4 linked regions of the Caenorhabditis elegans genome follow. The protein of the gene in region 1 interacts with the protein of each later gene in a pairwise test. Each region holds a gene or a part of one and is shown in the gene's direction. Other genes may lie near its edges. The genes, in order: txbp-3, H06A10.1, Y51H7C.3 and asp-6.

Evidence for each region.
Region 2: the proteins of txbp-3 (region 1) and H06A10.1 interact in a two-hybrid assay, tested with the Caenorhabditis elegans proteins (one large-scale study listed by BioGRID).
Region 3: the proteins of txbp-3 (region 1) and Y51H7C.3 interact in a two-hybrid assay, tested with the Caenorhabditis elegans proteins (one large-scale study listed by BioGRID).
Region 4: the proteins of txbp-3 (region 1) and asp-6 interact in a two-hybrid assay, tested with the Caenorhabditis elegans proteins (one large-scale study listed by BioGRID).

What each region holds. Positions count from the first base shown.
Region 1 is NC_003281.10:5,043,803-5,051,341, reverse strand, and holds txbp-3 (Tax1-binding protein 3 homolog), read left to right. Parts: upstream 1-4,180; 5' UTR 4,181-4,199; coding exon 4,200-4,454; intron 4,455-4,934; coding exon 4,935-5,054; 3' UTR 5,055-5,166; downstream 5,167-7,539. Other genes in the region: C45G9.15 (DUF851 domain-containing protein), read left to right, coding at 275-690, 744-1,049, 1,097-1,171; vtip-1 (Vha Twelve Interacting Protein), read right to left, coding at 1,450-1,834, 1,919-2,056, 2,648-2,732, 2,781-2,880, 2,929-3,048, 3,096-3,218; C45G9.14 (uncharacterized protein), read right to left, coding at 5,689-5,854, 5,902-6,021, 6,100-6,245; nlp-43 (Neuropeptide-Like Protein), read right to left, coding at 6,888-7,011. UniProt on the Caenorhabditis elegans protein: May regulate a number of protein-protein interactions by competing for PDZ domain binding sites.
Region 2 is NC_003284.9:13,503,977-13,513,373, forward strand, and holds H06A10.1 (DM13 domain-containing protein), read left to right. Parts: upstream 1-3,556; 5' UTR 3,557-3,735; coding exon 3,736-3,781; intron 3,782-3,835; coding exon 3,836-3,964; intron 3,965-5,005; coding exon 5,006-5,111; intron 5,112-5,155; coding exon 5,156-5,261; intron 5,262-5,315; coding exon 5,316-5,493; intron 5,494-5,645; coding exon 5,646-5,733; intron 5,734-5,780; coding exon 5,781-6,003; 3' UTR 6,004-6,133; downstream 6,134-9,397. Other genes in the region: col-185 (Nematode cuticle collagen N-terminal domain-containing protein), read right to left, coding at 6,134-6,883, 6,926-7,093.
Region 3 is NC_003280.10:1,436,593-1,444,668, forward strand, and holds Y51H7C.3 (Lzipper-MIP1 domain-containing protein), read left to right. Parts: upstream 1-1,897; 5' UTR 1,898-1,917; coding exon 1,918-1,951; intron 1,952-2,523; coding exon 2,524-2,630; intron 2,631-2,677; coding exon 2,678-2,779; intron 2,780-2,828; coding exon 2,829-3,011; 3' UTR 3,012-3,105; downstream 3,106-8,076. Other genes in the region: nol-6 (Nucleolar protein 6), read right to left, coding at 1-2, 48-139, 205-643, 692-802, 855-905; Y51H7C.12 (Nucleotide-diphospho-sugar transferase domain-containing protein), read right to left, coding at 3,474-3,630, 3,993-4,264, 4,504-4,683, 5,408-5,701, 5,958-6,047, 6,091-6,162, 6,682-6,768.
Region 4 is NC_003283.11:8,264,236-8,272,186, reverse strand, and holds asp-6 (Aspartic protease 6), read left to right. Parts: upstream 1-3,249; 5' UTR 3,250-3,251; coding exon 3,252-3,559; intron 3,560-3,604; coding exon 3,605-3,734; intron 3,735-3,841; coding exon 3,842-4,573; 3' UTR 4,574-4,676; downstream 4,677-7,951. Other genes in the region: asp-12 (Peptidase A1 domain-containing protein), read right to left, coding at 179-460, 537-914, 967-1,180, 1,229-1,542; F21F8.5 (uncharacterized protein), read left to right, coding at 6,488-6,643, 6,696-6,767, 6,817-6,936; C16D9.9 (Neuropeptide-Like Protein), read right to left, coding at 7,592-7,701, 7,751-7,826. UniProt on the Caenorhabditis elegans protein: Aspartic protease.

The sequences.
Region 1 (7,539 bases):
GTCAAATGTGTTTAGCGAGCGGAAGCATGTAAGTAGTAGGCTGCCTACCTATGTGTCAGCCTACTTGCCTAGAACTCTACATGCATGCCTACTTAGCATACCTTCCAATATGCCTACCCATGCCTGTTTATACATACATGCCTTTGGCACGATAGCGGGCGACAGAAAGTACCACATCCATCTTACTTTACCAGAACAACGCGAACGAAACATTCATCGCGAAGAAGTTCGAGAAAAGTCAAAACTCAGAGATCCACTAATACAAAATTTTCAGTTCAACTGCGACCCCGAATCGAAGAAGATCAGAATATCGAAGTGACAAGTCGAGACATTGACGAAGCTGATATGGAACGGATATGCAAAAAATTCGCAAAGGAGAAAATCAATCCAATCACGATGGCAGAGCCGATCGACGAAAAAACGAAGATTTTGTTGGATAGAGTCACTAAGAAACCATATCCACTGAAGTATAACAATGAAAAAGGATTGCTGTTATTCGATGAAAGATCCTCATTCTATAAGTCAAGGGAAAAGAAGAAGGCTGAAAAATCTGAATCTAATCTAGAAGAAGACACTTATGGACAAGTACCAAAGTTGAAAGATGTTCAGAGGTTGCCACCGCAGAACGTGTTCAGCCGTCCTGGAGTACCGTTTTGGGCAGTCACTTTGTTACCAACGGAGGAGGATTTGGTAAGGAAGCGGGTGTAGATTTACGAGAATGAAAGACCAACGAGTAATTACAGGTTGACGTTGATCCATCAATATCAGTTGGAACTGAACATCTTGAAATGTATCATTTGAAACAAGTACCACTTCAAACTATCAAAAAATCAAAGTTAATACTCAATGCACTTCAACCATTGTCTATATTAGAAGATCGTGATGATATTCATTTCACGCCGGAACTTGTATTTTCAAATACAATTCGATCGCTTGTTCATGCTCAGGAAATGGAAGGAAAACGAAATGAAAGTAAATCAGATGATGAGGGAAAGTCCGATAAGAGTTTGTCATTTGTCATTGAGAAGCAGGAAGAGTTTATTTATTCAGTAATAAGATTTACTGATTTGATATCTAATTATTTTCAATCATTCAGAGAGCAAATCCAATCGAGACGGCTAGAATGGCTCGTAGGAATCGTAGAAGTAAAGGATCGTCGTCGAAGAAGTGAAACTGAAGTCTTACTTTTCTTAAGTGAATATTTATTCGGAGGCAAGATAAAAGAATAAATGGTCAAATCACAGATTTTTTGTTGTTGAAACACAAAACAATTGAAAGCTATTTTGGAATGAAGTGAAGTGAACAACCCAAAGTTATACGACTAAAATTCTATTGACTGAAATTGAAACTATTTTTTTTAGATTTTTTAAAATCCGATAATTCGCATGATTTTTTTAAGTGAAGAAAGACTGAGAACAATATCTTAATGGGAATTTTAGACAAAAAAAATCAATTTTTCGCTTGCTCGTCTTCTTGTTTCTTCTTTTCTCTATCTGCTTTCCACGAGGATCCGTCCAATTTTATAGTTTCTAACCAATCATCACAAATTAATTGTTCATTTGGATCTTTAACCATTCCAGTCAATGCCATCAGAGCTTCTCCGTCTTTTACATCAAATCCTTCGCCCAAAAATGCATCGATTCGAGCACGAATTGCCACGAATTCCCCATTTTTCTTGAACTCTGAGAATCGTCCAGATTTGTCGTTTAGGATGAATCCATCTCCATATTTTTTGATGAATCTCGGGAAAAATATCTCTCCGGGCTCTTTTCCTGCTTTCGATGTGCTTCCTGTTTCAGTATTTGTTTCCAAATCGTAGAATACAAGTCGTTGTCTGAAAAAAAAAACAAAATGTTTTTATTTCGAATACAGATTCCGAAAAAACTATTAACACTTGTTAAAAATTACAAAAACTCACTTTGAGAACATATTCATTGGAAAATCGTTGATTGAAGCCACCAAAGTCTTGTCATCAAGTGCACAAATTCGTGAAAAAGCTTCTCCAGGCTTTGATTCAGCAACAACATCCCAACCGATTGGAGTGTCCAAGTGTGTTCTGAAATTATAGATGTAAAAATAAAATATAAAAAGTTGCTTGAAGGAAACATTTTTAATTTAAAGAAGGAGTATCGTCAAAGGGGAAATTGTTTTAAAATGTAGTATTTGTACTCAAACTTCCAATTATTGCAGAAGAAAAACGGAAAAATCCGTTAACATTCAGCATTTAGCCGTTGAAATCGACGAAAGTGGCTGAAAGTGGCTGAATTTGAATTTCGCGCGCAAATGAAAAGCAACCACGCAACTTTTAGGTCATATTCGTAAACAAAATATTGATTTAAATGTAATTTTTTCGAACTTTAATTCGCTTTTCTTTCTCAAAAAGTTCAAGAAAACTGGGAAGAAGAAATTGTATTGAGTATTTTTTCAAAGGACAATACCAGAACAAATAAAAATTCGAAAGATCGTCGTGGCCTAGGATTTCTCTAGTTAATTTTTGAAGATTTTTTCGACTTAAAATGCTGAATCTAAACGGATTTTTCCCGTTTTTGTTTTGTAATATTCTTAAGTTTGAGCACGAATACTACATTTTAAAACAATTTTCCCATTGACGATACTCCTTCTTTAAATGATTTATTTTAATTCTTACGTCATGATAAAATTGTTTCGATGTCCTGGTTCAGCTTGCTTCACAATATACATATCGCCACTATCAGTGATTGTCATGGAATTTACTAAAAAAAAATATATTTTAAAAAATGTTTTATACCAGAAAAACTTACATAATCCTTCGATAAACGACTCATGAACAACATCTCCATCAAGTGAAATTACTCTTAAAATTGTCGTTCGATCAGAGAATTCAGCTGATGTGTAGATTATCTGTAAATTTGAATAATTAATAACTTAAGTGAAAATAATTTATTGTACCCTGTCTTTGTACGAAATTACTTGTGGAAATGGGGCCATTTTCTTGAAGAATTTCTTGTCTTCGTGCAGAGTTCGGAGAGTTTTTCCGTTGAATTTATATAAACCGCCTTTTGAAGCTACCTGAAAAATGAATAATTTTTAATTGTTGTTGTTTAATTATAATATACCCATATATTGTTGTCTTGGTCGTAAACAACGTTATAAGGAACTCTTGCCCCTCTTGGCTCCAAATGAAGAAGCATTTCATCAAATCGTTGATAATCACTGGTGTCTGACGGTTCTTGGGTCATTTTTATGCTGAAAATTGAAAATTTATTAGATAATTTATCATTATATTTAGCAAAAGAAATGAGAGTCAACGATTAACTAAAAATTTAAGAGTTTTGCGCAAGAGAAGTGTCTAAAAATCAATAAAAAATTTCACCATACCCAGCTCGCTGCGAGACCTCAATCAATAATTTGAATGCACTCCTTTAAAACCACAGTAATCGGCGAAGTGAATTTGAATATTATTAGATTGAACAACATTTTCAAAGTGAATTCACATTTAAAATAAAGTGAAAATAAAGAAGATTTTGGAGTTAAACATGGTTTAAAAGTGGGAAAAATGTTTTAATTTGAACAAAAATGGTTTTTGAAAATAAATCGATTTCTCAAACATATATTGTGGAAATTGGAAAATCTACAGTACCTAGCATTAAAAAACTTCTTTTCCGCTACTGATTTTAGATTTTTAGATATTCTTTTTTCTTGACTATATTGTTTTACATTGAAATAATTCATTATTAATTATTATAATATCTTTAAAAATATGCCTGCAAATAGAAACATGCAAGACTGCAAGATTTGGAAACGTTAAATAAAAAATTGAGGGAAAAAGATTATTCAATACAAGTAAAACCAACTTTCCATGGCCGCAAAAAGCGATGTTTGGTCTTATTTTTTCAATTTCTCTTCCACGGCCACCAATTCAATTATTCTCTTATCGGCAACACTTGTACAAGGTCGCCATCTCAATGACAATCCGAACGGAATTGAGTAAAAATGTATGCAAATTCGGCCATGAGAGTAGGAAGATGAGATAGTGTAAGAAAAATGGAGACCAGAGGGGGTTGAAGACAATGAGTCACACCTCATGTTGTATGTGTGCGTTTCATCTTTGTCCGTGTTCCGACACATTTAAACATTAGTTTTTGAACAAAAAACCTCATTTTCTTTTCAATTTCACTTTTAAATACTTTCCAATTTTCAGATCAAAAAAAAATAATACAATGACAGCATATGGTCATATGCCAGGAGAAGCAATTGAATGTTTGTCAATTGCTGTTGAATTGCACAAACAAGAAGTTATTGATGCTCATGGACAAGTCACAATTCGAGTTGGATTTAAAATTGGTGGAGGAATTGATCAAGATCCAACAAAAGCGCCATTCAAATATCCGGATTCTGGAGTTTATATCACAAACGTCGAATCAGGATCGCCGGCGGATGTGGCTGGATTGAGAAAGCATGATAAGATTCTGCAGGTAATTATGAAATTTTTAAGTTTTCTTTTCCCAGAGACAAATGATCAAACTTTCTTGCCAACATATACATTGTTAATTAAGAGTACTGTAAACTTACTGCCGAATTTTCATCGATCTTGCATAGTTTTTCTCATGAGTTTTTGGAAATTTTTGTGTTGTTATATTTCAAATAAATAAATATACTTTCATCAAAAAACCATGCAAAATCGATGAAAATTCAGCAGAAATGAGAATTTGAAATTACAGTACTCTTCTTAGGCAATATTTTCTCATTCAACATAAATTTGCGTGAATTAAACTGAAGTGAATTAAACATTTGGCCAATTAAAAAATTTTTGGTAGACAAACTCAAGAACGTTCGAACATTAGCTTAACATAAGTTTCCAAAAAATTGAAAACTCCTCAAAATTTTTCTAGATGATATTGAGAACATCCTCTAACAAACGGACACCCCAACTAAATAATATTCTCTATTTTCAGGTCAATGGAGCAGATTTCACAATGATGACTCATGATCGAGCTGTGAAGTTTATCAAACAATCAAAAGTACTTCATATGCTTGTTGCAAGAGCCGATCTTCCTCCTGTCAGTCTTCATTAACTCAATCTCATTTGTTCCGTTCACATTCAAACTTGCCCTTTTCAATTATCTCTCAAACTCAATTCTGCGCATATATTTTGATATTTATCGGGTTCAAAAATAAAAAATTTTACTTTTTTGACGACACAATGCATCATTTGACAAGAAAAATTGGTCATTCGTGTTTGGAAAAATGAACTGAAAATTTCATAATTGCCTGTAAATTTTTATCATACAAAAATGAATTATTTCAATGTAAAAAATAAAGTAAAACAAAAGAAATTATAAATCTGAAATCTGTCGCAATAAATTTGTTAAATTAAAACATTTTTTCCACTTTTAAACTAGTTGGGATATTAAAATCTTTGTTGCTTTCACTTTATTTGAATTGTGTATACACTCTGAAAATGTTTTTAAATCTAAATAATGAATTTCAAATTTACTACAAGGATTACTGTAGTTTAAAAGGAACACACGTGATTTCACTTGATGGATTCTTGGAACAAATTCAATTGTGTAAACACAGAAAAAGTGATGTACTAACAAAATGTAGTATTATATGCAAATGAAACTTGTAGTACATACTAAAGTCTTCTCGAATCATCTCGAAAATAATAAAATAGTATTTTTTAAAACTTTTAAAAACTAGAAACATTCAATTTTTATCAGAACTCTGAAATTCAAAATTAATATTATCTTCATCATCGGATGAATCCATAGTTTTCCCTTCTTCTTCATATAATTTCAGCAAAGTTCTCTCTTTTTGTTTTCTTTCTTCCGTCACTTTTTCTAATTTTTCCATTAATTTCGTCATTTGAACTCTGCAAAATCTCGGTTTTTTCTGTTCCTAAAACTTTGAAAAACTAACTCTTCTCTCCTCGAAAAATTGCGATTTTCGTCAATTTCTTCCTGTTTTTCTGCAATCAATCGGTCCATTTCTACAATTTCATTTTGAAAGTCTTTGACTCTTGACTCGAAATTGGAATATCTAAAAAATACTCAATTATTACTTTTCCACCGAAAATACCAACTCAATTATTCTTGTTTTTCGAAAAAAAAAACTAACTTTCCAATAAAATTTTGAATTGTCTCCGCATGGCTTCGCACGTTTTCAGATTTTTCCAGCGCCTCCTCTAGTTGAGCTTGTTTCTCCGCAATTCGAGCATCTACTTCGGATAGGTAAAAATCAATTGCATTTTGGGATGAAGCCATTTTGATGTATACTGGATGTGAATGTGCTCATGGAGGAGATTTCTGGGTGCGCTCAATTGGAAAATCCCATGTTTGCTGGCCAGTTCCTGAAATTTTCTAGTACAACTACGAATTGCAGGGTGAAATGAAAATCTTTCCTTGTAAGAGTTTTTACAATCGTTTCATGTACTTTCCAACAGGAATATTAATTTAGAAGAAAAATTTTATAATAACTGAAAGTGGAGGTTGTAAAGTTAATCAAAGTGGAATAATGTACTGCGCAATTTAGAATTCTCGAGTGTGTTTGAAGACAATGAACATTTCATGTTCTTAACTCAAGTTTTTCACTAAAATCAAAATTTGACCGAGATATGCTTGCAAAGTTGATCAATAGATACTATACAGTATGTCGGAAGCATTGCTTCAAACAATCATCCAAAACACTCAAACTGAGTCCATTTTTATTGAGTCGTTCAAAATTCATGATTCAAAAAATTAAAAATGAAAGGAAATCGAGAAGAAGATGTCAGAGTTGTTGATCAGGAAAAAAACAAAAATAGGTAGAGATTGTGAGATTCAGAGACAGAAGTTGAAACATACACACACAGAGAAAAGAACAGATAATGCTACTGTCATTGTATTTTTAGAAAAATAATATTTGAGTTATTTCCCGGCCCATGCGTAAAACTGCTTCCTTTTTTCCATTGATGGTCCAGCTTCTTGGGCAATTGAGTCTTCAAAATAGTGAACTGGTGCCGATGATCGTTTTCCGGCCCATGCGTAAAATCTGGAAAAAATTAAATTAAAAGCTGGAAATTCGCTCGTTCAATTTGTGACTCTGTGAGTTGATGGCGGTCCCCCATCCCGATCACGGTTACCTTCTGATTTTTTTAGCAACAAAGGCGACTAAAGGGAGTACAGGGAAAATATGGGGCGCCCGTTGTTCGCCCCCATCGAGCGCCACTGTCCGTTATTCCCCCTCCATTTTATGGCCCTGGGACAATAATCATAAAAACTCTAATAAAAAAACTATACAACAATGTTTTTAACTTATTTCTGCAAGCTACCATCCTCAAATGTTTATCCAAAAGCTCCAGTCAAAAAATAGATATATACATAAGTCAACGTTACTTTCATTTGTGCACCTCTCTGTGCTCAATTTCTTTGTTCGTTTGCTTGATGCGACAAATTGGATCTATTTTTCATTTGGAATTAGTTTTTTTTTGAAAAACACTACAGTAACTCCCAACTTTCGCCAATTTTTGATCGTTGGTTTTAAGTGGTTTTCCAGGGTCGGAAAGTTTGGATTTTGAAT
Region 2 (9,397 bases), on another chromosome or scaffold:
AGTCATGGCCAAAGAAAAGTGTAGAAGAGCCCACAGAGAGAGAGCGACGAGAAAATAGCAAAACGGGACAAAACACGACATTATTATGGAGTGGAGAGTATTCGCCCCGGAAAAGAGGAAGAAGCACGGACACTTCGCTACCCGCGCGGGTCCCGAATTAATGAGGTGGTGGTCGCTAGTTTCCCCCTCACCCTGTCCGTTGCAAAAGCTCCATGTTGAATATGAAATGGAGTGAAATATGTGTGAGAAATGGATTTCAACATGTACATATTCGTTTCCGAGGTCGTTCGTCGAAAAGTAGTACGAATTATTTAGTGTTGTAAGAACAATGGGCAAGAACGTTTAACGAATCGAGCCCAGAATAGTTTAGGAGGTAGCGAAAACGTGAACAAAAAAAAGTGTGCAGAAGATGAAAAATGTAAAGAGTTGGATGAGGACGTGACGGATGGATTGAAATTTGAGTTCTTCTTCGTCTTTTTATTTTCTTTCAGAGTGCATAGAATTGAAGGCAAACAATAGTTTGAGAGAGCCGCTAAAGCTTAACAAGAGCCTAAAGGGTCTAATATGAGTTTTATCAAATGTAAATTTTAATAGATATGTCTGGTGAACTAAAAATTGGATTTTCATTATTTTAGTGAGATAGTGGTTCAAAAAACCCTCATTCTTCAATACATAAGTTTTCATTAAAGGTGGAGTAGCGTCAGTGGGGAAATTGTTAAAAACAACTCCCTCGGTCCAAAAATGACTGAATATCAATAAAACTTTTCAAATAATTTTTGAAATTTTTTTTATTTACTGTCAAAAAATGACAATTACTCATTTTTTGCTACTCTTAATTTTGGAAGTCTACCAAAAAAATTTCTACCTAAATATTCTATACTTTAACTTTGTTTAACTAATTGTATTGAAACATTGTAAGGGTCGAAACATGTGACATAGCTTTGAATTTCCTCAAAGCTCATATTTTTAAAATTTTTGGCAATTTGCCAAAACTTCGACCGAGAATTATGGGAAATCTAAAATTATTTGGAATGTTTTATTATGATATTCGGTCGTTTTGGGTCATTATAAATGTATTTAGACAGAATCCATGGGCGCTACTCCACCTTTAATATTCAGAATTTTGAGCACTGGATAATTTTCAAAACTTGCTAAGAAAATGCATATTTTTTGATAGTTTTTTGTATTGAACAGCTGAAAAAAAAGGTTATTGCTCATTTGAGTAGGCTAAACTTTGATGCTCAATACAAAAACAAAAAGACGAAAAAATGAAGCTTCAACTTGATTCAAGTGAAAGAATGTGAAGAAATGTCGTCGAGCTCGAAAAAATTGAGAAAATGTGAAAATTTGTGAAGAAGTCGTCTGTCAGTTCGTTTTCTTCTTCTTATTTTTTGTCTTCTCATTCGTTTTCGTCGCAATTGAATAAGAGGAGAAGAAGAGGAAGGAGCTGAAGAAGCACGGCGGGAGCTCAGAAGTGCTAAATGAGTCGGGCGGCACTCTCGTAAACCAGCTTACTTTCGAAGATTCAAATGGAATTTTAAAATTGAACAAGAAGATAAAATACAGTGATAAATGGGGAAAACCTTTTTTTTTTTGTTTTTTGCTGAACTGAAAAATCATACCGAAGGAGTGTAACCTGTAACATAGCGCTAGCGGAAGTTTTGCCAAAACATACTCAAAGTGAGCTTAAGAAATACTTTTTTCAGATTTACTGTAGGTGAGTTTCGAATTTGAACAAATACAGAATTTCAAGTTTTTTAACGTATGGACCTTTGTTTTTTTTACAGCATAGAAGCTACTTCACTAGATTTATTCAGCCAACTTTTGAAGAATGTATATAACTTCAAAAGTACGCGGAAATTTCGAAATTCTTCAAGACGATCTAACCAGATCTAACCAATGTTACTCAGAAAAACAAAAAAAAATCTATAAAATGAACGAAACCATTTCATACAACTTTTAGTTTTACAACACTACAGTTTTTTATTTGAAAAAATTTATTTTGCGTGATTTCCATAACTATGAAGTTCAAAGTTACACCAACCAAGTTCCGGTGAAAACTTCAAGTTAAAAAAGCACTACCGTTAGTGCAATCTCAGTAGTACATCAATAAAACGACAAAAACGATGAAAAAGAGCGCACCCATTTCATTTTCATTTGGGTTACACATTTCATCACCACTAATGGAAATCGGGTTTGACGAATGGCAGGGTGATGTAATCCGGGAGCGTGTCAGAGTGGGAAGAAGAAGAAGAAGCACATCTGCTCTTTTTCCGTCCACCATTTTATGCCTCCAGATGGTGAGAAGAGGAGTAAGAAAAAACGGAAGACGTGGGAAGCGAATAAAGCAGGAGGGGGAAATCTCATTAAAAATTTCTAGGTGCCCTTTGCTCGATTTCGATGCCCGAGGGGTTAGCAGGTTCTGGTTCTGGGCAATAATAAGCTGGTTGTTTTTGGTACTCGTCTGGATTCTATTGAATTCGTCTGTGCGCTTGAACGCCCAAGCTTAGTGTTCATTGGAAATATTTGAAATTTTGAAGCGATTTCGAAAGAAATAACGCAATGAAAACCATTTGATACAGGTGGAGTAAAGTTTGAAAATACTTTTTTGTAGAATAATTGTAGGTTTATTTACAATATTTTTATTTTAGTCTTTAGATCAGGGCTTCCAGTCAAAGGCTTGGAGTAGTGCTAAAAGCGGTTATTTGGCCGCGGTCGACATTTTTCGGGTTCCGTGCCGCATTATACAAGAGAAGCGGCTTGCGACGCGAGGCAGGCGTTCTGGCGCCTTACACTGTTATTATCACTAGTAGTATTTTAGGTAGACACTCAACATTTTTATGAACTTCTTTGAACTTCTATACGTCATAATGTCATTTTGTACTGAGGTTTTTAGGCTAGCTTTTGAAAAAAAAAAGCAATTTTCGTATAAAACCCAATTCAAACATTTTACCGTAAGCGTGATATGGATCATCTTTTTTTTAGATTTTAAATATTTTATTTTCCCTAGCCAAAATATAAACTTTTCTGTTATAAAACATTGTGAACAACTTTTTTTTCAAATTCACATTTTTCGAAATGCTCCAAAAACACTGTATTCAAATTTTTACAGAATTCAGGAAAACTATTATTTTAAATGTGGAACAGATATCAAATTAAAAGCAAACCTTTAGTTTGTAGCTTTTGTAGGTTGTCACTGGCTACACCTCGCATTTTTCATCATATAAAAAATGTATCAAGATTGTTTGAACTTGGTAGCGATTTGAACTGTGAATTTTTATTTGATATGCATAAACGTTTATTCCAATTTGAAAAATGCAACGACGTTAGCGCGCGTGTTTCAAGAATATTTCAAACTGTCAATGATCCAAACGTTATTTACTAACAAAAATAATAGAAACATTTATTCAATTTACCGATCGCCGGTGTTTTGAGATGAACCTTCTTTGAAATGGTTTTGCAGTCACCAGAAAACAAAACCATTACAATGTACTCCAATTTGGAAAAGAAGAACTGAGACAATAAAAAAGTAAACTGTTTTCACTTTCGTCTCATCTCGACAAATGATGTAGCTGTTTAGGGTTAAAGCAGAGAAGTAAAACTTGACCAGTTTTTGGCCATATAGGTCAGAAAAGCAACGCTTTTTCTTTTATTTCCTTTGAAGCAAAAGACCAATAGTTATCATTCTATTCAACATTATATCCAGATAACTTACTTGATTTTCTCTCTATTGACATGCGGAACAGCGAATTTTTTCTTATATTCATAATATCATATTCAGGTAAGAAAAACATTTGAAAGCAAATTGACACTATTCTTCTTTTTTGCTTTTCAGGAGTCATACGTGCCATTGAGTACAACGGAGTTTCTTTGGGCGAGTTCAGTGAGAGTGACGTGGAAGGAGAAGTTTTTCTTGTCAACTCAACACATTTACAAATTGTTAACTTTAGGACTACAAAAACAAGTAAGAATTTTTTCTCGAAAAATCAGTATGAATTGTGGAAAAACAAAAAAATTTCGAATCTTATTTAAATTCTAATAAATTCCTGTCTAGGGCTGGCATATTTGGCGCCCGGTCGTCCGGTTTTGATAGACCTTTTCCGAGGGGTAGGTTTTCACGGCGGCCGACAATTTTCGAGTTTGGCCACAGACTATAATTAATCACATAATTGTTTAAAGGTGGGGTACCGAATTCTGGGAAATATTTTCAAATGACTCCAAATTTTCCCCTGATTCTGAATATCGATGTGAAAAAACTCAAGAAATTTCTCTGATTTTGTATTTGAGCTTAAAATCGCAATTTTCATTGTGCAATAAGCTTTATCAAATTAGCGAAGAAATAAATTATCCTTGGAGCGTGTTTGCTTCATTCAATTTTTTCCATATATATTTACTTTTTTTCAGTTTTTCAGCTATTTTCATTTATTTTTCTGCAGATAAAATGTTCAATTGGCACGAAAGAATATTTTTTTAATCTGACAATATACAACAAAAATGAATAAAAATAGCTGAACAACTAAAAAAAAAGTATGTGGAGAAAATGAAATGAAGCAAACGCGCTCCAATGATAATTTATTTCGGCGCAAATTTGAAAAAGCTCATGGGTGCACAAATGAAAATCGAGATTTTAAGCTCAAATATGAAATCAGGGAAACTTTTTTGAATTTTTTCACATCGATATTCGGAATCAGGGGAAAATTTGGAGTAATTTGAAAATATTTCAAAGATTTCGGTACCCCACCTTTAAGGTGTGGCTAAACTCGGAAATTGTCGGCCGCCGAGAAAACCAACCCCTCTAAAAATTTTAAAATTTCCAAAACCGGTCGCCGAACTTCCGATAAACCAGCCGTATACCTGTCAATATTCGAACGCGTTACTATGTAATACATAACATGTTTTTCCAATGTTTTAACGGAGTAGCGCAAAATTTGAATTGCTCGAAAAAAAAACATAATGGTTTAACACAATGTGTGCCAAACTACAGAAAAAAAAGCTACCTTTGCAGATCTTCCTCCAATTCCATTTGCTTTTATATCATCAAACAATCAAAAAAGTACTCCAAAAATCTACCGCCATTTTTCATCTCAAAACGGCGAATGGCTCTCAAAACTGTGAGTTAATTTATTGTCAAGAACACATCAATAATCACATTTAGGGTGTCATTGAGTCACGAGCAGCACCAAATAGACACGCGGCTAATTGTCAAAATGACGGGCTCAGCTGCGCAATGGAAGCAATTTGCAGTTGTTGATTCAAATGGGGTGAGTGTGGGGAACAGGGATGCAGCGTTTTTTTTCTGAATCATTATGTTTCAGAATACATTGGCATCTGTAAACATGAACCAAAAACCATCAGCACCATTTTGTTGTTTTGAAAGTGAAGCGGATATGGGGTTGTTCGGAGAGTACGGAATTATTTCGGACCCCATAGAAGTGATCGACTCCAGGACACTAAAAATTCCAAAGTTTTCATATAAAGCATCGCAAACACCAGGTACTGCTTTTTACACGTGAAGCTATGGAGCATTGTATTTCTTTTTAAAAAAACCTTTTATCTTAATAATCTCATGATACAATGGATGCAATCTTTGTCAAATCTTGAATAATGTTTAACAGTAAACTGTGTACTGCAGCTTCAGTTTTCAGACGGATACTTCTTTGCCGGAGCCGGATCAGAAATTGATCAAAAATCTGGGAAGAAAGCTGCTATTCTGCGAAGTGATCAAACCCTCAAGTAATTTTCCACTTTTTTATTGAAACATGTCCTGTTAATTTTTCCAGTTATTGCCCTATGCTGAAAGATATTACCGATCAGGATATAATTATACGCTTAGACCAGAGCCAAACAATTTACGACATTGAATGGATTAGTGTATTTTGCTACAAGTATTCACACGACTTTGGCCACTTGGATATGGGACTTGTTGAGAATGAAGAACAGGTTCCACCTTATATTCCGGATATTAGCATTTCAGAACCACATGTAATATCCCAAAACTGCTAAATGTATCTTTAATGTTTCTTTATGTAACTTGATATGTTTTAAATTGTAAATGTGTTTTGAAAATGCTCTAAATTTATTGGCAAGACAAATGAAGTCAATTGCAAAGTAATGGTAATAATAATAAATGGAATTAACGCCGTGTTCCATCCTCGAAGAAAATTCCTCCGTCGATGGCGCAGTACTTGGGGCAGATTCCCTTTTCTCCTTCACCTCCAGCTTTTCCTGGTGGTCCTGCAGTTCCTGGGTTTCCGTCTGGTCCTGGAGCTCCAGCTGGTCCTGGTGGTCCTGGTGGTCCGGCAGCTCCTGGGGCAGCGGTTGGACTGGCTCCATCTGGTCCCGGTGGTCCTGCTGGTCCTGGTGGTCCAGCTGGTCCTGGTCCTGCTGGCTCTGGATAAGTGCTCTCTCCAGCTGGTCCATCTGGTCCTGGAGTTCCGGCGGCTCCGTCGTTTCCTGCGGGTCCTGCTGGTCCTGGTGGTCCTGGTGGTCCTGGTGGCGATGGTGCGGCTGGTGATCCTGCTTCTCCGTCTGGTCCTGCTGGTCCAGCTGGTCCATCTGGTCCTGGTGGTCCTGGTGGTCCTGCTGGGCATGGCTGACATGGTGGTGGAGTTTTTGCTTCGCATGGTGCAGATGCCCCCTTTCCAGCGGCTCCCGGAGCTCCTGGTGCTCCTGGCTTTCCTGGCTTTCCTGGCTTTCCTGGAGATCCTCCTGGTCCTGGTGGTCCTGGATTACAGCATCCAGTGCATCCACCGCCAGCAGCTGCATCTGCAGCTCCGGCTCCTGCTCCAGCATCAGGACCTCCCGACGAGTATCCAGCCTGTCTTGCAGTTCTGTTCACTGACACGTCGCTATTGATTTCAGACCACATATCTTGCACCGAGTTCTGAAGTTCATTTATAATCAACACTAGTATTTTGAATTATACCTTGCAATACAAAGACTCGCGATGAAGTTGAGCCTTGGTATTCTCAACATAAGTGAAAATAAGTGGCAAAGTCAGACACAATGCAACAGCGGCAGTAACAGAGAATCCGACAGCCGAGTATGCAATTAGACGGTACGCTTTAAGACGAAGATCGGTTGGAGACTCCATTTTGAACTCTAGAATGCCAAAGCACACCACTGGAATGAGCTTCGTGTAAACCATGGGCATATTTATACTGCTTCTACTATTGAAATTGTTCTAGTATAGAACTGGTAGTTGGATCAAGATAGTAAACGATTGACTGCGAGATATCATAGTTTGGCAAAAAACAAACAACTTTTATGACGTTCTAGGTGTTTGTAAAATGAAATGGTTCTGGAATGGGATTCCAACAAAGAGAGAAACGATTGTATCTGGAAATATATCACAGAACATGAATGTGGAACAAGGCTTGAAAATTTTTGCTGATATCTCCGTGCAATTTAGTGAAATGAATGAAAGTTTTGAAATTAGATTTTATTATCAAAGTTTCTATAAATATTTTTCCAATTATGAAAACATGAACAGGGCAAAACATAATAATCAACTGAAAACATACACATACTTTTTAGGCATGTTGGTCAGAAATAACTTTTGCATATAGGTCTACAGAAACATAATTTTCAGGATTCGTGAATGTTGAACTAAAATCTGCACGAAAACACGTCTTAATTGAGAATACTTTTAAGTTATTTATTAATAAACCTTCGAGAAATAGCACACAAAAACTCATTCAGTAAAACAATTAGGGCTACAGATCGATAGTTCACATATTGTACAATTTGAATATAATATTTTTAAAAACTAACTATATATATTTGGCCGATTTTCAGTTTTCGTTTAAAATATTTACAACAATATTTGATTTTTTGGCACCAATAAAGTAACGTGTGATACTGTAAATACTTGTCAATATAAATGAATTTAACTTTATAAGTTTGAGAACATAATTTTATTTATGCTGCATGTTATCTGTTCGCAGCGAAAACTATCATCAAATACTTTCCGGTCAAAAACTTGAAAAAGGATGGGCCGAACCGGGGATTGAACCCGGGACCTCTCGCACCCAAAGCGAGAATCATACCACTAGACCATTCGGCCATGTTTCCCTGACATCTCTCCGTTATATATAACTCTTCCCTTGATGTCTCTGTTTCTCCCTTTACATTTCTTTCACTGTGTTTTTGGGTTGTTAAGGTTTGCGTCTCGTTTCACCTTCGCTCTCTTTAATTTGGTTACCGTATTTCCTCTATTAGTAAGGCATGCAATACTAATTTTCGGATACCTATTTAGATGCAATACTACTAGAGAGTGGAGGTGCATGCTTCGTGTGTCACCCAGAAAAACAAACTCCTTTGTGAAACAAGCTATAAGATACATAGAACAACGGCAATGTTGGTTTCCAGAAATTTTTTATATTGATGTAATTGCAAGTCAGGATCACTTTGAAATTCTTGGCAAAAATTGCAGCGTAAAACTATACAAAGGAAAGGATATTTTCCGAGTTTTGGAAATAATCTGTAGTCTTGACGAGCATTTAGAAGTCTATGCTAAACTTTATATAAGTAATTCTTTTAAAGAACTACAGGTTCAAAGAATTGTTTCAATTCTACTTCGTAAGAAAATATGTGTTGTGTGTGTGAACTTCATCGGAAGACTAATGCCTAAGAAACTTTTTCGAAGTTTTTTGAAAATTAAGACGAATCAGTTGCGAGTTGATGTGACAATACCACACGATATAAAATTATGCAATTATAAAATTAACAAATTATGGATTTTTTGCTTAATTTCATGTCCGTTGACCTGAAAGGTATCAATATCACTAGTCGACAATTGAACTACCTACTCAAGAAATGGCAGGAAAGGAGCTTTCGTTTAGTACATTTCAATGCAGTGCAAATAAAAACAAGTCTAGAGAAGTCTATCGTAATCGAAGGGACACAATCAACACCAGCGTTAGTTTAATTCAATTGTTTTATTTTGATACGATTAGTTAATTTTAGGTTGGTCTCCTGTTTCAAGATAATTCGAGTACATGACGGTGTTGCTCATTTCGAAATCAGTGATAATAACTTCTGGCTCATTGTTGGAAAAATTGTAAATTATTCCACGGCACAGTCTCTGTAACTAACAAGAAAAAATTCCCGCTCGTTGGAAACATTACGTCATTATCCCTATCCTCAAGAAGGCTACAGACCATATCTTTAACTGTTCCCTTTGCTCGCATTATTGAACAAGTCATCTGTTCTCAAATCCGCACATACCACATATTTCCCGCATTATCTCTCTTCCCATTATTAGCATGTGTTTCTTCATTTTAGAAACTCGTCCTCCTCCCGTTCTGTTAACTTTCGACTTTGCTAAGGCTTTTGATAAACTTTCTCATGGTATCCTCCTTAATAAACTAAATAGTTTTAGTCTTGATAACCTCAC
Region 3 (8,076 bases), on another chromosome or scaffold:
GCCTGAAATTAAGCTTTTAAATGGGGAAAATTGGCTTAAAAGGGTACTTTAAGCTCCTTTTCCATCTCTTGAGCAATTTCCAACTCGAGAATTGACCACAACATTCGTTGATTGAATTTTGGCGTAGCGATTTCGGTTTCTGGAAAAAAAATTAGGTTTCTAGACTACAAACTACACTTTTTCCTGCAAAAGAAAGACAAAAACCTTTAAAAAGATCCTCAAAAATGGTGGCGGGCCTCAAATTTCCGATATTTGGAGCAAATCTCTTGGTTTTCGCAAGCTCCGGGCAGTAAAATCCAATTCGAACTCCATCGACAAGAATATCCGCGAAAATTGGGTCATCTCTGTGGGCTCCACCGGCTGTGAACTCGACTTTTTCGAATTTTCCGCTCAGAAGCCGCGCCACGTGGCACGCGAAATGTCCCCGCTTCGCCGCGTAGGTCAAATTGAGAAAATCGCGATTTCCGAGAGCTTTTGGCGGAATTTCAATGAAAATTTGTTGCCCTTTTTCAGTGATAACGATGCTTTTCGGCGGTGTCCACTGAAATTCCGGAATACTCGACGACGTGGCATCCACAGCCTTTTGAAGATGATGCAGAGGATGTTTAACGTCGAATTCTGTCCAGAAATCGAGATTTTTGTACTGAAAATTCAAATTTTGGCCTAAAATTTCACTAATTAAAGGGAAAACCTGAATTTTCGGGCCATTCTTCGAGGTTTCCAGCACATTTTTTATTTTTTGAGCGATTTGACGCTGCTTTTCGATGAGTTTTTTGTTGGATTTTGGAGCGGTGTCTTCGCACTGAAAAATATAACAATTTTTTTGCTTGAAAATCGATTTTTTTGGGATTTACCAATAATTTGAAGGCGTTCGACATTGGGAGCACATCTCCGTCTGTCTCCATCTCTGCAAATAGAATTTATTAGTATTTTGCTCCCAAAAATCAATTTTTCAAGCTAAAACCAATTTTGAAAACCAATTTATACACTAGAAATGACAAATATTCAGTTTTTCATTTAAATTTCACAAAATTACATTCAAAAACTAGAAAAAATCATTGAAAACTCGAGATTTAAGGCTAAAATCAACAAAAAATAAAATAGAGTGTCTCTGTCGATTTACGATAAACAACACGTTACTGCGGGATTTCGGAGTGTCGTTTGCCTGCTTTCGGCGGAGTTTCAAAAGCAGAAATTGAGTGGAAAACGGGGAAAACAAGGGAAATGACAGATTAGAACACAAAAAAAGGATTTAAAATGAAAAACTGCAGAGTTTTGGGACATTTTTCAGGGAAAAACACAGATTAAGACGTGTTTAACGTCTGTTTTCGAAATAAATTTTTGAAAATAAAGTCTAAAATGTTTTTTTAACTTTGAAACGATCATATTTCTAAATTTTTAGAGCTAAAAAACAATTTTTTATGAAAAAACATGTTAAAAATCAAATTTAAAAGTTCCTACAGTACCCCTTATTGCTCGTCAATTAAAAGGCCAAGTACGCAAAAGTACGCAACCTGCCTGCTGCCGCCAAACTTTGAATTTCAAATTATTTCCCTCCAAAAAATCAATTTTCCAGTTTTCTACGAATTTTCATCAAATATTCATGAAATTTCCAATGTTATTTTTTGTTTTCTTTTCATCACAAACTCTTTCGAATTCTCTGATGAATTTTAAATTCTGTAGTTTCTTCTTCTCTCCCTCTCGCCGATTCAGCTGGAATTTATTTCTAGAAAGAAAAGCGAAAAAAGATGCGAATTCACTGAATTTATAGGCTTGTTTTTGGACCGATACGCACACACACACACACAAAGCTATCCATCATTTTAATTAATTCTTTTCGTTTCGTTCTCCATTTTCTCTCAGTTTTCTCGTTTCCGTTCATTCAAATTTGTTTCAGCAAGCTCCCGCGACGCAAAAATGAAGTTCCTGACATCAATTCTCGGCTCTGAACGTGAGTTTTACCTTAAAAACCCCAAAAATCAGATTTTTCCATTTGGTCTGCTACACTACAAACTACAAGGTTCGATTTAGCAGACCAATAGGATTGTGAAGAGATTTGGTCTGCTAGACTACAAACTACACAATTCGATTTAGCAGACCATTATCGGGAAAATCCTATTAAAACATGCATTTTCGCAATTTTTATTTAATTTTTATACTTAATCTTAATTTTAAGTGCAAAATTGATAGTTTTAAATGATTTTTTCCATTTTTTTTTGCTAAAATTCGTATAAAAATCGGTCCTTTCTTTGAAATTTAGTCGATTTTCGCTCAAATTAAATGATTTTAGACTTTTAACTAAGTTAAAAACACCTTAAAATCACTAAAACTAACATTTTCCAAATAACCGGACTTTAATATCAATGAAAAACCGCCAGAAAACTCGAAATTCAGTGGGTCTGCCAGGCTACAAACTACAAAGAATATTTAGCAGACCAGAGCGTTTTTCATTGAAAAATAGGCAATTTTCGCTTAAAATAAAGCTTTTTTGACCTAAATTTCTTCAAAATTACCCTTTTTCAGGTGATCGTGCAGCCAAAAAGCGTCGAAGTCTCGAAGTGAACCTGCACCGCCTCGAAGAGAAGGCTTTCCTCTTGGAAATGGAGCTCGAAGAGACCAGAAGACAAAAAGTTGGCTATTTTCGAGCGTTTAAGCATGATTAATTCAATTTTTTCAGGAAAAAGTGATCAAAGAGCTCCGCAACGGGCTCCCAGTTCGCCACGTGTCAACAGTCAGCGTCTCGTCGACCGATATGTCCTTCAACACGGATTCCTCGAATGTATGCACCTTTTTAAATCGATTTTCGCATTAAAAACGTTATTTTTCAGGTCACCGATCATTATTGTGGACTTCCGATCGATTCGAGCACGCCGAAGGAGACCTCTAAGAGAGATTTTCAGCAAAAACACGAGCAATATGCCGAAGAAGAGGGGGAGCGTGCAAAATGGCAAAGCTCTGCGAAACTCGGCGAGAAATCGGAAAAATCAGAGAAATCTATCGAAAAGTACTAATTTGATCTACTAATTTTTATTCGCACTTTTAATTTTCTTGTCAAATTTGTGTAAAAAGCGATTTTCAGAGTAATGAAGGCTTACAGATGACTACAAACTACATTTTTCGTGGAGTTGCAATGCAGAAGATATGGGTCTGCTAGGCTACAAACTACAAAATGATGTTTAGCAGACCAATCCAATTTCTGATAAATTTTGGTCTGCTAGACTACAAACTACAAAAAAAACATTAGCAGACCAACGAATTTCTAAAAATTTGGGTCTGCTAGACTACAAACTACAAAAAATATTTAACAGTCCCAACCAGTTTCTAATAAAATTTGGTCTGCTAGACTACAAACTACAAAATGATATTTAGCAGACCACTGCTGCTTTTTTGGCATTTTTCCACATAAATTTGGCAAAATCATGATTTTTAATAGAAATAAAACATTGTGGGACTTTAAAAACGATTTTAATAAATTAAATAATATGATAATGCGCCTTTAAATACACTTTCCGCCGTCCTGGATCCACATTGAATAGGTGTCTCAAAAAGAAGACGCCTGAGCCGAACCAGTTCTCTTCCAGGGACCAATCCTGGCGAATTAGGGATTGAAAGCTTGTTTTGATGGTTTCTCTGAAAGTCGTAACTTTTTTTTTTCGGTGGAGAATAGTAAAACTAGCATAACTCTGAAACTAGAAGGTTTGGCAGACAATTGTCGACTGCAAATATGTACAGAATAATATTAGCTACAATTTGCCAGTTGACAAGTTTTGCTAAGCTCAACCCAGAAAATAGTTATGGCAACCGACGTCTCACGGGCCAAGAACGCCAAAAATGGCCCGCAAGGTGTCGGCCGTCGTAACTTTTTTCTGGGTTGAGCTAGAACAAAGTTGTCAACTTACAACTTGTAGCTAATATTAATCTGTAGTCTGTACATTTTTGCAGTTAACAATTTTTCGATAAAACTTTTAGTTTTCAGGATATAGCACTTTTACCTCAACTCCCTCACAGCTTTCTCGTTACAAGTTCCATTTTCAAATGTAAAAACCAAGTTTTGCCGTTTCAAAACATCCATCTTCGAGTCTCCATCTTTCCGACCACCATCAATTTGTATTAAAACCGGAACCATCTCACGTGGACTCTCGAAATAGTTAAATGAAGACGATATGGAATGTGGCAGGAATTTGCATTTATATCCCTGATGACTGCATAAATAACTCATGATTGTTGAGTCGGGGCTTTGAAATGTCAGCATAAATGAGATTACCTGGAAAATTTGAATATTTCAGAAAAAAAACGGGGACTTTTTTGCTTGAAAATCGAGGTTTTAAGTGGTTTAGAAAAATTATAAAAATATGGGTATGCTAGACTACAAACTACAAAACATATTTAGCAGACCAAAGTTTAGAAAAAAAGTTTTTGCTATCAAAAATTCAAGTTTTCAAATTTTCTCATTGGAGCGTATTTGCACAGCGTGGTTTGCGGAAAATTCAAAAATTTTGTTACCTGTTGAAAAAACTGATAGGACACAGGACCCCCTCTGACAAAAAACGTGGCACCACACGCCAAATCCTTATTCCGGAAGTAATATGGAGTTTCGTTACCGATGGTGTCCAGGATTAGGTTGTAATTTCCATATCGAGACTCGAGTTCCAACTGGTCAAAGCTTCCGGTCCAGAGGGTGTCCTAAAGTTATTTGGGAGTGCTGATGAGATCACGGAGCCTACCATACCTACAGTGCCTACCGTGCCTACCGTACCTATAGTGCCTACCATGCCTACCGTACCTACAGTGCCTACCGTACCTACAGTGCCTACATTGCCTACAGTGCCTACAATACCTACAGTGCCTACAGTGCCTACAATGCCTACAGTGCCTACAGTGCCTACAGTGCCTACAGTGCCTATAGTGCCTGCCATGCATATCGTACCTACATTGCCTACCGTATCTATAGTGCCTACCATGCCTACCGTACCTACAGTGCCTACCCTACCTACCGTACCTACCGTACCTACCGTACCTATAGTGCCTATAGTGCCTATAGTGCCTACCGTATCAATAGTGCCTACCATACCTACCGCGCTTATCGTGCCTACAGTTCCTACTTACTCACCTGCTTACCAGGCTATTTGTTTACCTGCTTAACTACAGTACCAACCGTGCCTACCTTGCCTAACATACCTGAGTGCTTGCGTGTCTACCTACTTCTTACCTACAGTACCTGCGTGCCTCATTGCCTACCTGCCTATCTACCTTCAACCCAAATTTATGTATCTTGGTAGTAAATCAAATCAAAAATATTTGCGATGCGCCCAACATTTTCTGGGTTTGACCACCCACTATAAACTTTCGCAAATAGGTAGATACAAGGCAGATAGGCAAGCCTTGTAGGCAGGCACAACATGCCTACCTGATGCATGGACCAAAAGTCTATTCCACGAAAAGCCAGGCTAGCACATATCTGTGCATGAACTAGCAGGACGAGTGAATATGATAAATATCCACGTGGATCCGGTAATGAGCTTATCGATTTTTTGTGGCCTGTCAGGTCAAATAGAAGGTTCGGGATGTTTGGATGCTTCTGCTTCAGCACTGAATGGGAGTTCGGGTCAAATGAGATTGCTACCAGTCGGGATAAAGAATTGGGGATGAACTGTAGATTGCAAACGTGGTTTAGGACAACGTCCACGTTGGTAGAGTCGTACTGAAATTTTATTTAGACTACAAACTACAAACCACAAACTACAAACTACAAACTACAAACCAAAAAAAAAACAAACTGAAAGCTAATAACAACAAAAAATCAGTCTTACTCATACCTTACAACCTACACTATATGCACTATTAACTATAAACTACAAACTACAAGCTACAATCTTATAACATAAAACTACAAACTACAAACTATAAACTATAAACTATAAACTACAAACTATACACTACAAACTACACACACTTACTAATATTAGATATGGAGCTTTTGGCATTTTTCGAAGACTATTTGCAAACTCGTCGAATTCCGTGTTATTATTGACAGCTTCAAATGTGAGCTGAAAATTTGAAAATATATAGGATGAGTTTATGAAAAATTACCTTATTTGATATACCATTCAAGTTGTAAAGAAAATCCTTGCGCCGGTGAATTTGAGCGTCCTGGAAGACTTCCTGAAAGCTGACTGTTTTGGGGAAATTCCGGAAATCTTTTTGATAAAATTGATGTGCTGCCAAAGTTAAGCCGTAAAAGACATGGTGCAACAGTACTTCAATAAAAGAGTGTCTATATTTATATATATATATATATAGACAACAAAAGTATAAAAGTAAGTAATTCTAATATTACCGCAAAACATTCTATGAATTCAATGTTCCAAAAATTCAATATTTAAAAGAGTAGGCTTGGGCTATGACATACATTTTCCAGCGTATCTTGATAAAAGGAAAACAATAAAAATGGAACGTTCTAGGGAACTCGCAGCATTTTAGATTGAACAAAACAGACAACTGTAACTATACTGTATATACTACTTAAACTGTATATACTGTATGTATATAACTATACTGTATAAATAACTGTAAGTATTTTATTTCCCCGTTATTCTGTTCTGTTCAACGATATTTAAAAGATTAACTTTATATAAAAGTGAACAAATTCTCTTCTGTACGCCTAAATCAGACCCAACTTACCAAAAAGCGTATTCCAAAAAAATAGCAAAACAATGTATAGACAATAAAGATGTAAAAGTATTGTATATTAATGTTACGGCATAACATCTTTTTATTAAAATTTCATATAAATCTATGTATATATGCAAAACTATATTAATGTGTAATGTGTAACATGACATAGATTCACGGGGGCTTATCTTGATTGAATTTACTATGCGCAGGTGAATAAGGAGGAACGTTCCAAATTAAAAATACGCGAAACGGGCAAGACTTGGAAAAAGTAAAGTTGAAAAATGCCAAATTTTTTATTTTGATGCACCATGTCATGGCCTAACTTGGGCCGCCCATATCTCAATTCTCTAGAGTTTTATCAAAAAATTGTCAACTGGTAATCTGCTTCCTGTTGGTTTTTTCTATAGTTTGATAGTAACAACTATAAAACATCTTCCAAATGGAGTAATATATGAGTTGTCCAAGTTGACTAGTACCAATTATCGATGCAGCATGTCTTAAAACTCATGTGTCTCAATTGTCATTGGTTCTTTTAAAAAATTGTCAACTGAGACAATGTTTGCTATCACTTTTTCTATAAATCTGTATTTAAAACATTCCAAAATCTTCGAAACTTACTGGAATACGCACTATCAAAGTAGAAATGCAACACTTACAGAGGCTTTATTAAAGTATCACAGTTTAAAAATTAACTGAACAATTGTCATTAAGTAAAAGCCCAAAATAGTTTTATAGCCCGAATCCCGATTGACCAGCTCATCATACTTGTACAATGGCTCTGGAATATCCGGTTTATTACTATCGCAAAGCCCGGTGGCCTGATCGCAAGTGGTGTTGGGCGGACAAGCCGAGCAAGTAGGTCCCGATTCGTAGATGGTACCCCCCAATGTAATCACCACTGTAAAAATGATACTATTTACCGAAAATAGGTGCTCACAACTCACGTTCCCCAATAATGACACACGATTTTAACATTGTACGTTTTATGTTCCTCATCCCAGGCACACACTTTCACCCCACATCCGATGTCCCCGACGCCGGCCCAAGCCATTTGTATCGAATGCCCGACGCCAGATTCATAAAGCTCCATGCTCATTACATCCGTGTTCCATCCCCTAACATTGAACTCCGTGTTCCAGTTTTTTTGAGAACTTTTGAGGATTTGTATCCAAAATGATTTACATCTTCTGACGCATTGAAGATCATTCCTCCCCACATATTTTCTCCATAAATGTTCGGTTCCAAATGACGTGAAGGACATGTGTTCACGTAGTTTTGAGCCGAAGTTGCAACTGTCGAATTCCATTTCTATAATGTTAGCTGCTTGGAAATGTTGCCACTTTTTTCAAAGCCTAGGTGCTAGGGCTTGCATGCAAGGCAGGCGCGGTTACAGGGCCTGAC
Region 4 (7,951 bases), on another chromosome or scaffold:
AACGGTCTGTGACGTGGGTTTTCACTTCACAAAATTGTCCAGAAAATGAAAAAAGAAATAAGGTGTACATGACGATATGTATAAGTTGGACTTTTGACCATAATCACGTAGATCACACACTGAAGAAAAGTAAATTGAAGTATTCATTTTCATTTCTCACAATCGCATTGCATAGAGTTTATTTTGAAGAAGGCTGGAGAGACTTGGCAAAACCAATGCGCTGTTGTCCGATGTCATAGATGTTGCAGTATTGACGGATGAAAGGATCTCCGAAAATCCATGATGGTCCGAATCCTCCGAAATCGAATGAGAAAGCAGCAAAGACACAAGTGTCACCCATTCCAACATCAAGGATATAGTTGACAGGTTCAATAGAATACACATTTCCTCCGATAGTAATGTCCAAAGTTCCCTTAGATGTTGAGCATGGGAGGTAGTAAGCATCATCATCGCTGTGGTACTGGAAAAGGTTTAGATATAAAGATTAAAAAAACTGTTTGTCCCTCACAACGAGTCAAAATTAAACTGATACTCACTTTTGCTCCCAAAGCTTGAGCGAAGCCATTTATCACAGCACTTGGTCCTCCGATGAGCGAACTTCCAGTGTCGGAAATCACTTGAGATTTCTTATTGTTTGAGTATGATCCGAGCTTAAATCCATCAGCAACAAACTGATAATACGTGGCAGATGAAAGTGGTTGATAGGCAATCACTGGTCCGCAGTTGGTAGTGTCAACGGCTCCGTAGGTGAAGACACCTCCTCCAACATTCTTTGCCGTTCCCTTATGTTCTAAAAAGACTGTGAACAGAGGTTGATCGAGAATTTTCTTGTTGATGGCGTTGATCAGTGGTGGGGTAACTCCGTCGACTGCAAGAGATGTGAAGGCAAGCCCGAGAATTCCTTCAGCAGCGTCCTGAAAGTTTCGTTCCGATGAAGAATCAAATAATCTGGGAAATAGATCTTACATTCTTAAAGTTAGACGAAATGTGAGAGGCAATACCGAAAGTGGTAGATGGGACAAGAAGTTGTTGTTCTGAAGCACCACCAAAAGCAACAGTATCTACTCCCATGATTCCCTTAGCGCTTCCAGATTCGTATTGAATTTGCCATGATTGTCCGTTTTTCTTGAATGTTGTAGATTTAGATGAGTCAAACTCGCTCTTTCCTTTGCATGTTCCACTGAAAATGATAAAAATTTAAAAACCATTGTGTAAGGTGGCTACTGACTCGCAGTTACTTCCTGGAACCCAGAGATTCGCAGAACCAGTATCCAAGACGACAATAAACTGTTGTGGAGGAGTTCCAATCGTGATATTTCCTAGGTATTCAACATCTCCAAAATCATTGACATTTTGTGGAGCACTGGCGAACACAGCTGGATTGGCGTCACGTAGGGCAGCCTTGTGTTGAACGTATGCTCCCCATTCTCCTCGCCTCATCATTTGCATCTTTGGCGATTCCCGATAGATCAATTTATGCTGAACCACAGTTGCCGAGCACATGCCAAGAATGGCTACAAAAGCGAGAAGAGTTGTCTTCATTTCTGAAAAGATTTATTGAATATTTCGATGTTTTCAGTGCGTGTTGTGTTTTGAAATAAAAGAGGTTTCATTAATTTTGGTTGAAATCATGTTTGTTTCTTGATTCTACTAGTTTTTCAACGAACAACTGTTTGAAATACAATATCATTTAGGTTGACTTTTGTGCGAGACTGTGTGAATGCCCGGTACGATAAAAAGTTCAGTAGTCCTATTATGCTTGAAATATGGGTATTTGAAAGTGTAATACAAGTATTCAAGAACTAAAATGGTTCTTTCTTCCTAAAATTTATGCGTTTAAGATTAAATACCATAGAAACCTAATATTTTTCGTTCTTCAGCTCATAACTTTGCAAACTAGAATGTCCGTGCAAAGTTTGGAAACTTTGGCCATTATTCTTTCAATCTGACGCAAGAACTCTCACTTTCTTGATCTGATGCGATAAATTATTGATAATAAATCAGAATACGTATCTAGATTCGTAAGAAGCTTATCTAGAAAAGTTCCGGCTCATAGTCAACATGCCTGGCTATTGGGCACGTGATGATCAAGATGTTTGTACTGTCACAGGTTGAGAAGTAAAACAGCGGAAATGATTGAGGAAAACGTTTGATTTAAAGAAATGTCAATAAAGCTATCATGTTGACTGCCAAAATAATACAGAGCCGGAAAAAAAACTGCAGAAAATAGTGATGTCATTTGGGTACACTTGCAAAACAAGCGTACAGTATTAATTGGATTTCCAATTCAAAAGGGTGAACTGTAAAACTTGAAACCATGCCTAGCTTTCTCTGCAATCCACCAAAAATTTTATATTTGGGGTCTTTAGGAAGATAGGCTGAAAATTCATCCTTAACTATTCCCTGGCAAGTTTTCTGGCAAAAAGTTTATCTACATATAAATATGGAGTTTTGCAAAAAAAAATGCTGTGGAACAATTGGAAATGGACATAATTTTCAAATAAAATTCAAATAATGGGCACTATTGTAACTATTTTACTAACTGTGAAGTAAGATGAGATAGAAAGTGCCGTTAAGAACCTTCCAACTCAAAAAGTTTATTCAATTCAAAAACTGTATAATGTTGAAAACTATAATACAGAGCAAATTGAATTGTTGGAAAATCTTACAGTGATGCCTTAAATAAGGCTCTCGTCATTCATTATATCATCCTTTGGACTCTGTCTGTTCAAGTTTTAGCCATGCTCAAACTGTATACTTTCCTATCGCTTACGTAATTCATCACGTATTACTCCGGATTTAGCCAGTAAACCTACGTGTGTACCTGGTATTGACCTATCAGCACTTGACTCAAATGTCATCCATCTCCGGGTACCGTTCACGGAACTTTACGCACTTTTGATTCAGTTAATACTCGAGTTTTATTAGCTCATAAAAGCTGTTTCGTCAGTTTTCAGTCGTTACTTCCAGAAGCCGGAATCATCGGCACTACTCTCTTCACTAAACTTCATTTTTTAGTGATAAGAATCGCACCGATCGGGTACAAACCAAATAAGAAGGCGGTTCTTATCAACCAATTAAACTTACGTCAGTGCGCCCATGAGTTTTCTCAACAAGTATAAAACATAGCACTATCTGACATTTTCTACTTCAATTTTTGCTCTTGAAATTGAAAATTATTTCACTCGTTTATCTACACTTTCAATTTCATTTCCATTTAGAATATTTTTCTGAAATATTTATTTTCAGGTATGAAGACCTTCATCCTTCTGGCCGTTCTTGGCCTTGCATCGGCTTCAGTCCATCAACACAAGATCGTATGGAGGGAATCCAAGAAGATGGGAATGATCCGTACTGGACAATATCCAGCTTACCTTGAATACCAGAGAAATCTCAGAGCTGTGTCCCCAAATGTTCTTGCTAATCTCCCACAAAATGTCAATGACTTTGGAGATTTCGAGTACCTCGGAAACATCACCATCGGAACCCCAGATCAAGGATTCATCGTTGTTTTGGATACCGGATCCTCTAACCTCTGGATTCCAGGACCAACCTGCAAGTGAGTAGATTTCAGTTCTGAAATATTTAAAAAGATTATTTGAAGGACCAACTGCAAGACCAAGAGCAAGTTCGATTCCACTGCCTCCAGCACCTTCGTTAAGAACGGAAAGTCCTGGACCATCCAATACGGATCAGGAGATGCCGCCGGAATCCTCGGACAAGATACCGTTAGAGTAAGTTTATCTTCAATGCATTAATGTGTGCGTTGTGTAATCTTGATATAAATTAGCTGGCAAAGTGAATTTTACAAAAAATCAGTCCTTATCAAATTGATTTTCAGTTCGGAGCTAAGGGAGACTCCCAATTGTCTGTTCCAACCACCACCTTCGGAATTGCCAGCAAGATTTCCGCTGACTTCAAGAATGACGCCACCGACGGAATTCTCGGACTTGCTTTCACCTCCCTTGCCGTCGACGGAGTTGTCCCACCACTCATCAACGCCATCAACCAAGGAATCCTTGACCAGCCACTCTTCTCAGTCTGGCTTGAGCACAGAGGAGCCGCCAACAATGTTGGAGGAGGAGTCTTCACCTACGGAGCCATTGACACCACCAACTGCGGAGCCCTTGTTGCCTACCAACCACTTTCCTCTGCCACCTACTATCAATTCAAGGCTGCCGGATTCAAACTCGGATCATACTCAAACACCAAGACCGTTGATGTTATCTCTGACACCGGAACTTCCTTCCTCGGAGGACCACAATCTGTTGTTGACGGACTCGCCAAGGCCGCTGGAGCCACTTATGATGACTTTAACGAGGTCTACTTCATCGACTGCGCTGCCCAGCCAGGAACTCTTGATATTACCATTGGAACCAACACTTATTCCATCCAGCCAGTCAACTACATCGTTGATGCCGGAAACGGTCAATGCCTTTTCGCTGCCTTCCCATTCGATTTCGGAGGATTCGGACCATCATGGATTCTTGGAGATCCATTCATTCGTCAATACTGCAACATTTACGATATTGGAAACAAGAGAATGGGATTCGCTCCATCTCTCCAAAAGTAAATATATATTACTATTTATGTACTTATACTTTTTCAATAATAAAACAATTGAAACAACTAATATTTAAACAATTTTTCTGCAGAAATGAATTGCATTGAATTTTAATCACGATGTTTCATTCCTCTTATCAGTTTACTTGTGTTATCAGCGAAATTAACGAGTCCGCCGTTTGATGATGCAAGAAAATGAAAAAAAGCTTAAAACCAGAATTGAAAAGGGGGAAATTGATCACTTTTTGAAAAATGCGATCAATAATTTTAATTATAAGTTTATTTGTTTTTGTTTCTGGATTAGTACATCAAAGTAAAATATTATGGAAACCATCAAAAAGGATCGAGATGCTGAGAAGTGGAGAATGGGCAACATATAAGAAACATCTCGAGAGACAAAGAAACCGTAATCCTTGGCAGCTACAGAGTTTGCCACAGAATGTAAGTTTTTTTTAACGTATCCAAATTTTAAAATAATCTAAAACTTGTACTGATAACCTGTTCTATGCAAGTTTCACAATTTTTAAATAGAAACTAGCCAACTTTCAAAAATAACTTTTATTTGATATTTTTCTCATAAACACATACACTAATTTAGGTCAATGACTTTGCCGATTTTGAATATCTTGGAAACATCACTATTGGAACTCCTGATCAGAGCTTTATTGTTGTCCTTGACACAGGTTCCGCGAATCTTTGGATTCCAGGGACATCATGCAAGTAAGAATGAAATTTAAAAGTGAACTTTTACACTTAACTTTTAGAGCAAATTGTGAGTCGAAACACAAATTTGACAAGATATTGTGAAGGTATAATTTTTAAACAATTATTCTTACTTTCAATTAAAATTTTGTAGATTGGAGCGACCGGAGAAAATCAGTTAGCAATCCCAAAAACGACATTCGGAATTGCAAACCAAGTTTCAGCAGATTTAAAAAACGACGCCACCGATGGAATATTCGGTCTTGCATTCACTACATTGGCTGTTGATGGCGTAGTTCCACCACTTATCAATGCTATTAAACAAGGAATTCTTGATCAACCATTGTTCAGTGTATTCTTGGAACATAGAGGAACATTGACAAATGTTGGAGGAGGAGTGTTCACATATGGAGCAGTAGACACTACTAATTGTGAACCAGTGATTGGATATCAGCCATTGTCATCTGCCACTTATTTTCAGTTCAAGGCAAATCGATTCCGACTGGGAAAATATTTGAATGCAAAAGTTGTTGACGTGATTTCGGATACTGGAACTTCTTTCTTGGGTGGTCCCAGTGTAGTTATTAATGAAATTGCAAAGCAGGCTGGCGCTACCGTAAGTTTTTATCAGATAAAAACCTGATAAGATCTCATCTTATCTTCACCTTAATTTATAACTATGAATATTTTTTGTTTCGACTGAAATTTTATTTCATATTAACAGTAATGGAGTCGCTCGTTATAACTTCAACTTTTTTGAAGCCGGTTGTAAAACTAACTCTTCCCATTCAAAAACCAAATAAACATGTAAAATTAATTTCCACTCTAAAATGTTACAGTACTATATCCTTGGAGAAGCGTACGTAATCGATTGTGATGCTACTCCTGGACCACTTGAAGTTACAATTGGTGGCCATGATTATCAAATCGAACACTACAATTATATTGCGGATGTTGGCGATGGAACGTGTGTGATGGCTCTCTTCCCAATGGATTTTGGAGGTTTTGGACCTTCCTGGATTCTTGGAGACCCGTTTATCAGGCAATATTGTAACATTTATGATATTGGAAACTTCCGAATGGGATTTGCTCCATCTTTGCAACCTGCTCCAAAATGATTGTGATTTTTTTTAAATAAAAATACGTGTGTTGAAGAGTTTTAAAGTTTAAAAAAAATGTAAAAAATTTTTTTAAGTTGAAAAAATTCATTTCAATTTCTAAAATGAATACATTTGTATTTTTGCCACTTGCATTTTTCGTTCTACTTGAATCATTCGAAGCACAAGAGCCGCCAGGACCGACGGCTAGATTAAATATGTTGGATAATTATATGAAACGCCTCAATCTTACTGATATTCACTTTTCTGATCCCGGTGGTGTAAGTTTTGGGCCATGAAGTTGTTATTTCAGAAAACATAATTGTCTTGCAGATAGTGAAAGTGGACACTGTCGTGAATAAATACCAACCTCTGACCGAAGAGGAAATTATTCGTAAGATGAAGGTATGACGTGGTTAATATATTTAACCGACTCAAATATGTTTTTTTTTAGAAAACGGTAAATGACACTGCATACGATATTGCAAACGGAAAAGATCCTGATCTTATTGAAAAATTGGATAAAAAGACTGTTCAACTTCCAAAACCAATTCGTTCAAGACCACAATTCTAAAAGTTGAACCCAGATACTTCTGATTCTCTGATAAACATTTTTTATCTTCGCCCACTCGTCATTTCAGAATATTTATTAAAAGCTGTATAAGGTAACCGTAAGAAACGTGCCATGTTTCATATCTCCCATTTCTTTGATCACAAGTTTATAAAAAGTCGAGAGAAGAATTTTTGGCGCGTATCTAAAGTTGAGTGTCATGATGCTCTAACACCTGAGTTGCGCCTGATGAAGAGAAGTATGCACTAAACCTTTCACGAGAGTAAAAATTGTAGGGCAAACCTTCTGTTTACCCTCTACCATAAAGACTATTTTCTTTTTCATTTTCTCCTATGTCTTCATGTAATGTCCAATTTTTTTCGATTATTTTCATTTCCTTTATTTTTTAGAATTAAAAGTTTGGAAATGAACTATGTAGGGCGAACGGAGGGTTAGGCATAAGGTAGAATAGAGTTAGGGAAGAGCAGGGTAAAATGTTACCTTTGTAGAAGGCTCACACCTGACGCAGTTGCATAACACAAACTTTTTATTATCGAATTAGTTTTACTATTTCCATCAATGAAAATGAATCCCGGCCCACTGATCTTTATTTATATACTTTTTTAAAAAATTTGATGAAACAAAGTTAATCTCTTGTTATTTATTTTTGAAATTGAAATTAATTTGCCAACATGTCGATCAGCCCACTGTCTGCAACATCCTCAAAAGCTGGAGACGAGACACGAGTTTTCCTCCACATCTTTTGACGCCAAGCTGGACCGTAATTAGCTGAAAATTATGAAAACTACAAAAATATGAATAATCGTTCAAGATTTACCCATCATTCTATATTGTGCATCAACCAGAACAAGAACCAGGAGAAAAACTAAAATAATTCGGAGAGTAGATTGCATTTTTGAAAATTACCTGAAATAAAAACTCAAATTGAAACGCAAAAAGGGATGACGAGGAATAAACGAAAAAAACATGCGGAAGCTAACAAGGACAGGGCTTAAATAGGTGAAGAAACCCGGATCTT